2 linked regions of the Oryctolagus cuniculus genome follow. The protein of the gene in region 2 interacts with the protein of the main gene of each other region in a biochemical or structural test. Links are inferred from orthologs where the notes say so. Each region holds a gene or a part of one and is shown on either strand. Other genes may lie near its edges. The genes, in order: SMYD3 and MAP3K2.

Evidence for each region.
Region 1: the proteins of MAP3K2 (region 2) and SMYD3 are reported together in a solved structure, tested with the Homo sapiens proteins (2 studies listed by BioGRID and IntAct, with this or other methods). The link is inferred for Oryctolagus cuniculus from reciprocal best matches to the Homo sapiens genes MAP3K2 and SMYD3.

What each region holds. Positions count from the first base shown.
Region 1 is NC_091444.1:66,465,848-66,469,765, reverse strand, and holds the start of SMYD3 (histone-lysine N-methyltransferase SMYD3), read left to right. Parts: upstream 1-1,690; 5' UTR 1,691-1,789; coding exon 1,790-1,953; intron 1,954-3,918. UniProt on the Homo sapiens protein: Histone methyltransferase. Specifically methylates 'Lys-4' of histone H3, inducing di- and tri-methylation, but not monomethylation. Also methylates 'Lys-5' of histone H4.
Region 2 is NC_091434.1:122,237,105-122,240,922, reverse strand, and holds part of MAP3K2 (mitogen-activated protein kinase kinase kinase 2), read right to left. Parts: intron 666-3,818; coding exon 552-665; intron 163-551; coding exon 75-162; intron 1-74. UniProt on the Homo sapiens protein: Component of a protein kinase signal transduction cascade. Regulates the JNK and ERK5 pathways by phosphorylating and activating MAP2K5 and MAP2K7. Plays a role in caveolae kiss-and-run dynamics.

The sequences.
Region 1 (3,918 bases), on a different chromosome or scaffold from region 2:
ATCTGGACCATATTCCTCTGCTTTTCCCAGGCCATTAGCAGGTTGCTGGGTCAGAGGTAGAGCAGTCAGGACTTGCAGTAATGCCCATATATAATACTGGTGTTGCAGGCAGTGGCTTAATCCACTACACCACAATGCCGATCCCTGTCTGATGCGTTAAAGATATTTCAAAATACTTTCATAGAACTTATCCTCATCACTTCACCAGGCATTATTATCTTCCTTGCACAGATAATAAACAGACTTGGAGAAAGGCCATATTGCAGAACTGAGACTCAAATTCTGGTCCACGGCTTTCTTTACTTCACCTTGGCCACTTGTTGGCTACTCCAGCAAATTTCCAAAGTTTGTCTCTCCAGTGCCAGAGTATTGCCCACAGCATTACTTACTAATATTACTTTATTAGTATTGAATTTTATTACTAATATTACTTTATTAGTATTAGTATTGCATTGTAATACTTTATTAGTATTTATTAGTAATACTTTATTAGTATTATAGTAGTACTAGTGACAAAGGTGAAATGAACCTTGACAAGACAGAGCTAACAGAAGCAGCTGTAGTCTGTCGATGCAATTGACTACAATGCAATGACTACATTGATTGCAATGTCTCAATTAGTTTTATCAATAGTGGGGCAACTTGATATTGTGCACTTTCAGATGTAATATAATGCAATACAAAGTAAACAATATCATGTACAAGGAAAAAAAAAGTTTTCATTGAATCCAGTCAGGCCTCTAGGCTCTTACATCTAGATTTAGCCTACAGTGAACAGGAAATACAAGAGCAAGTTAAATGACACCAGGAAAATACAAAACTCCTAGCTTAGACTCTGCAGAGTCCATGTCAGAAAAAGTGCATGACCTTTGATTGGATCCTGGTTTAAAAAACCTTCCAAAAACAGTTGCAAAAGGCATTCATCCTTTTTTCTTTTTTCTTTCTTTCTTTCTTTCTTTCTTTCTTTCTTTTCTTTTTTTTTTTTTTTTTTTTACAGGCGGAGTGGATAGTGAGAGGGAGAGAGAGAGAAAGGTCTTTCTTTGCCGTTGGTTCACCCTCCAATGGCCGCCGCGGCCGGTGCACCGCGCTGATCCAAAGCCAGGAGCCAGGTGCTTATCCTGGTCTCCCATGCGGGTGCAGGACCCAAGCACCTGGGCCATCCTCACTGCACTCCTGGGCCACAGCAGAGAGTTGGCCTGGAAGAGGGGCAACCGGGACAGAATCCGGCAGCAAAAGGCATTCTTCAAGTGAATACGGTTCTGCTTGCTACTATAATTTTCTTAGGTGTGATAGTGATCTTGTATTTTATAAAACAGTGTTCTCATTCTGAGGTAATGCCAGTTAAGGTGTTTGATGTGAGGTAAAGCGCACCTTTCGAATGGTTCAACTGTACAGACTGACGTACAGATCGAGAGAGCGAGCAGAGACAGCAACATGCGAACAGGCTGATGCAGGTTGAGCGTACACAGGTGTTCACAGCATTACTTTTTCAACTTTTCCTATGTTTTACAATGACCATAATCAACAGAGCAGAAAAAAATGCCGCCTTTCTGGGCGGAGCCACCTCGCGCACCCGCCGTCGGGAGAGCAGTCGGAGCGCTGAGCAGCTCGCGCGCTGCCGCCGGCTCCCTTGGAGACGCGGTCTGGGCATGCTCAGAGGCCCCGCCGCGCCCGCCCCGCCCCTCGGGCGTACGTGGGCGCGCAGGGCGCAGGCGCGCGAGTCCTGGCAGCCCGCGAGACGCCAGCTGCGGTACGCGGCCGTCAGCTGAGGTGCGGGAGCCGCGGCACTATGGAGCCGCTGAAGGTAGAAAAGTTCGTGACCGCCCACAGGGGAAACGGGTTGCGCGCCGTGGTCCCGCTGCGCCCCGGAGAGCTGCTGTTCCGCTCGGATCCCTTGGCGTACACGGTGTGCAAAGGGAGTCGGGGCGTCGTCTGTGATCGTTGCCTGCTGGGGTACGTACGCTGCGCCCTCGCCCACCTGAGTCCCCGGCGGTGTGTGGGGTCCGGAGTGCTGGGGGGCCTCTGCCTGGTTGGGGCTGCGCGGGAGCCCGGCGGTGCTGCCGAGATGCCTGGTCCGGCACTCCCCCGGACGCGCGTGTTGCGGGGGGCGGGTCGCCCTGACAGGCCCGGCGCGGAGAGGGTGGAGGGTGTGTCGAGGCCCAAACCCTACCTCTCTGCAAGGTGGAACTGGACCCGCGAGCCGACCGGTCCCCCGAGCTGCGTTGGGAATTAGGGGCAGACTGGACGGGGATAATTTTGCTGGAGAACAAAAAGTCTACATCATGTGTGACAAGCTTCGTTGGGACAACTGTGGAACTGACTAGTGCAGGGGTGGGTGTCAGTGCGGCTCACAGCCGAGTCCCCACCGGGAAAGAATGGGGCTTGCAGGGAGGCTGAAGAATCCTGGTGAGGAGGGTGCACTTCTGTTATTGGTTCTGTGTGGCCTGCGAACACGAAGATGGACTGGACGTTGTTTGGAATCTTTAAGCAGCAGATCAAGTGGGAAGGATAATTACAGTGTATCAGAAAGGCAGAAATAGAGATGCAGTTACTGTGCTATGGGAGCGTTTGTAAGTTACTGGGGTTCCTTAGTGTGCTTTGCCATATCCTTGCCGTGCGGGAAAGTCTAACTCTGAACCACCTGTCCAGGTGCAAGAATTCACGTGAGTGTTTAGGTAGCCTGGCAGCACAGTGCCATTGAAAAGCGCTATGGGAAAGCAGTTTATGGGAGTGTGTAACACATGCAGCGGTAGGAATTGCGTTCAATGCTATTGAGTTTTTGTTGAGTTTCTGCCTGCAACTGAGAAGAGCTCTGTTTTGAGATGGGTAGGATGATTGCTTTTCCAGACCTGTCAGGCTGGGATTGAGTTAGGGAAGTACGTGCAAAGCTCAGATCTGTAGCTTGACTTTTACTCTCACTAGGTCCCTATGTGATCCATAATTGAGGAATCTGTTTAATTTGAATTTGAAGGTTATCAAATAATAGTTGTATTTGCTGATTTCTGAAAAAGTGTTGATGACAAAAATCCATTTGGGAAGGAGCACATTGTGTGATTAAGAACAATTCATTCCTTTCAAGACTTTGCTGAAGGCTGTCGTTTAACTTCATAGATCTTTGATTATCCTTCAGGCAAATTGAGAAATTGGCCTGTGTATTCTGTTGCATCCTTTGGAGTATATGCTGAGTTTTACTGTAGTCCAAAATAGAGAACTTGCTGTTTAAGTCCTATCATATTAATTGGTGAATAGAATGTGGGCCACTTTGGTAATAAAATCAGGCTAACACTTTATTTAGTACCTGGAATAGAAATGTTTTGGAATGAGTGAATGGTGACAAATTAGTAACTATTGTCAGAGCTTCACTTCAGTCATAAAACACATGGAATTGTCCATTTTCCAAATAAACTACACAGTGTTTTTGTGGGCAGGATGCTTCTTGATTTGCCTTATTATTATTATTATTATTTTTTTTTTGACAGGCAGAGTGGACAGCGCGAGAAAGAGAGACAGAGAAAGGGCTTCCTTTGCCGTTGGTTCACCCTCCAATGGCCGCCGTGGCAGGTGCGCAGTGGTCGGCGCACTGCGCTGATCCGAAGGCAGGAGCCAGGTGCTTCTCCTGGTCTCCCATGGGGTGCAGGGCCCAAGCACTTGGGCCATCCTCCACTGCACTCCCGGGCCACAGCAGAGAGCTGGCCTGGAAGAGGGGCAACCGGGACAGAATCCGGCGCCCCGACCGGGACTAGAACCCGATGTGCCGGCGCCGCAAGGTGGAGGATTAGCCTATTGAGCCGCGGCGCTGGCGCCATATTATTTTTTTAAAGATTTATTTATTTATCTGAGAAGTGGAGTTACAGAGAGAGGGAGAGACACAGAGAGAGGTTTTCCATCCACTAGTTCACTTCCCAAATGGCTGCAACA
Region 2 (3,818 bases):
AAAGACAAATTTACTGGTCTGATGGCTGCTGGGTTAATTAGAGTGCTCAATGATTCAGATACCAGCTTTCTTACCTATCACAGACAGTCGTTTTTTCCTTTCTGCTCCAAATACTGTGTTATCCAAATCTTCTAGTGATGTTAATGGTTCTACAGTAGTAGCCTACAGAGGATAAGTGACAATTTTAATGTTATTCTTCCCCTTCAGGACTTTTAAATAGAATCCTCTTCCCTACCAAACACAATCTAGCTATTCTATATTGTTTATGGGCCTTAGCAAACCTTACACTCTTTGAAACTTTTATTCTAACATAATTCTTCCCAAACTGTCAGTTTCTGTTAGCTTCACATACTCAAAATATTATACTTATTTGTAATTTTTGACTTGTAGTTTTGAAGAGCAAAGTTATTGAAACAATAGCAATTAAAGTGTGTACTTTTACATTTATTCATATTGAAAATACAGTGATGATTACATAATGTAACTATTTCAAACATTGGATTTTATAGGCTTAAATCCCACAATTATTAAGAAAAAATTCCAATTCCTACCTGTGCATTACCATTTATTACAAGCAATATTTTGAGGCTCTTCATATGAATACTACGATCCAACAGTTCCACAGCTTTATCCAAGTCATCTTGGGTAGTTAGTGGAATTACCAACTAAACAAAAAGGAACATAAAGAATCATACAGCCATCTCATCAGGTCAAGCTCTCCCATGGTTATCCCCATTACTAGGGCATTAAAAATTTCAAAATACCTTGCTCTTTGATTTGTTACTACAATGACAGTCTGAATAAGCACATGACTCTATATTGTTTTGCTCTCCCCATGCTGCTACCAGTAAAATCTCAGAATAGATACAGCTAAATATTTTTAAATTTAGCTGTTAATTACATAAAGATTAATTTTCTAAGATTCTTCCACAATATTGCCAAATATAACTTACAAAATATTCATCCCCAAATGACATTAAGGAGTACAACACAAACTGTATAAAATAAAGGTATGATTTTTCATCTGCACAGATGAAACTCTCAGTGCTTTTTCCAATAGTAAACACAGATTTGCGCTCATGCCCAGTGCGCTCCTTGACACACCAACACCCACAGCATCTGTGACAGCTGCCATAGAGAACTGCCACAAGCAACCTACATGCCATCTGCAGTCCACCTGGGGTTTGCCTCTCTGACCCTGCTGGCCTGAGCACTGTTCTTGCAAGAAACCAAATGGGTCAGTCATCCCATCAACTCTAAATGTGGAAATCTGCTTTCATCAATTGTCTCATGGATCAGCTATTACAGAGGACAAAAGCACCAAAGAGGTCTGTGAGAAAAAGTATGATGCATACATTTTAAGAAACTCAAAAATACTTTTAAAATGTCAACTTAGTAGTTCAAGAAGACTGTCAATAACTCCAAAGTACATTCAACTTTATTGAAAGACAAACAGAAGTAAACAAATGAACGTATTCCACTTGCCCTTATTAGCAGAGTCTATGAGTCACTCAAATTGAAGGCCTACATAGTTTGGGATTCCCTACAATACCTTGTGAACAAGGACCTATGCACATTAGCAATAACTACAGAGCACAGCAAAGAGAAAAGACTTGGTAAATGTTATTTAATAAATATCATGTAGGGGAAGAAGGCACTTCAGGAACAGTGGGTTAAGCCATATCCTATGACACTGGCATCCCATATAGCACTGGTTCAAATCCTGGCTGCTCCACTTCTGATCCAGCTTCCTGCTGACATGCCTGGGAAAGCAGCAGAAGATGGTTCAAGTGCTTGGGCCCCTGCCACCCACGTGGAAGACCCAGATGGAGTTCCAGGCACTGGCTTCAGTCAGACTCAGACTCAGCCAACTGCAGCTATTTGGGGAGTGAAACAGTAGATGGAAGATGGATCTCTTTCTCTGTCTTTCAAATAAATAAATACATCTTAAAAAATAAACAGATAGATAACCCAGAGGTGAAAGGTGAAAGTTTGATGTACATCCAAACCCACTAACTAGCAGGGCATACATTCATTCTCTATGATTTCTTTATGAGAAACACCCTTGTTTTAAGAACCACAAAGGACTACCATGAATTCCATCACACAGTCTGCTCACATTTACTAACTCAACACCTACAACCTAAGTCCCAACTTCTGTCTGAGGCTAATTTCATACTACAAGTTACCCAGCCACTGGACTCTGTTTTCCTTTTAAGAATTTGTTCCTAATGAAAAAATAATTATTAACTAATATTACACAAGTCTGATCTATTTATCTGCTTAATAAATTCCTTTCCTTCTCCTACCAGTTATGAATCAAATGGGCAATTTTGCTCCTCTCATTAATCATCTTTTTTATAGTCCTGATGTGATTATCCCTATGTTCTAAGGTCACCTATTACAAACAGTAAAATCCAGAATGAGAGTCAAGAACAAGTCCTGGCTTATCTAAATTATAGTAAATAAAACAGAATTTTCATGCTTCACAAATTCATTTCAGTATTATTCACGCAATCTCCCTTCAGCTAATTTTTGATATGTTATGTTAATATAAATCCTTTCCACAAAAGAAAAAAAATTAGTTCAAGAACACAAGGAATAGAACTTAAATTTGAAATAAGTGAATTATCTTCTTGACTTTACACAGTGAAATATGAAAATAGCCCATAGATTTTCTTGTTCTCATCTAAACTGAGAAAGAGTTCAGAAAATCTCCCACAAGAACAACTACAGTCAGCATCTTACTAGAAAAAACAAATCCATTCAAGCTTCAAATTCCTGGTTATTTCAATTCTGGTGAACCATAAGTTTATACGGTAATAGTTCATTTTGGGCCAGCACTGCAGCTCACTAGGCTAATCCTCTGCCTATGGCGCCGGCACACCGGGTTCTAGTCCCGATTGGGGCGCCGGATTCTGTCCCGGTTGCTCCTCTTCCAGTCCAGCTCTCTGCTGTGGTCTGGGACTGCAGTGGAGGATGGCCCAGGTCCTTGAGCCCTGCACCCGCAAGGGAGACCAGGAGGAAGCACTGGCTTCTGGCTTCAGATCAGCGCAGTGTGCCAGCCGTAGCGGCCATTTGGGAGGTGAACCAACAGAAAAGGAAGACCTTTCTTTCTGTCTCTCACTGTCTAACTTTGCCTTTCCAAAAAATAAAAAATAAAAAAAAAAGTTCACTTTGAACAGCATGAATGATACTGTACCAGAAATAAGTAAATAAGTGGAATAATATGCAGTATACATGAATTTTTTATTTGTCTACAGGTACACAAAACTAACACCTCTTGTAAGATTTTCCTTAGGGCCTGGAGCTGTGGTGTAGTAAGTTACGCATCCACCTGTGGAGTTGGTATCCCATATGGGTGCCAGTGTGAGTTCCGGCTGCTCCATTTCCAATCCAGCTCTCTGCTATAGCCTGGGAAAGCAGTAGAAGATGGCCCAAGTCCTTGGGTTCCTGTACCAGCATGGGAGACCCGGAAGAAGCTCCTGGATCCTGGATTCCAATCAACCCAGCTCTGGTGGTTGTGGCCATTTTGGGAGTGAAATAGCGGATGGAAGACTTTTTTCTCTCTCTCTCCGCCTATGCCTCTCTGTAACTCTGCCTCTCAGATAAATAAACAGATCTTAAAAAAAAAGAAACTGCAAGGCATCACTATAGTATAGTACTCGTCCCTTTGTGGATATTAAATGTTTGGGTTATGGATTTTTACTTTCTCAAAATATTTTCATCTCTGAGCTGTACGTGGTTTCTTTAGACAAGCTACATTAACATTTTCTTTTGCTTTAACTATTTAAAATCTAATATATTTAAGTATTTTA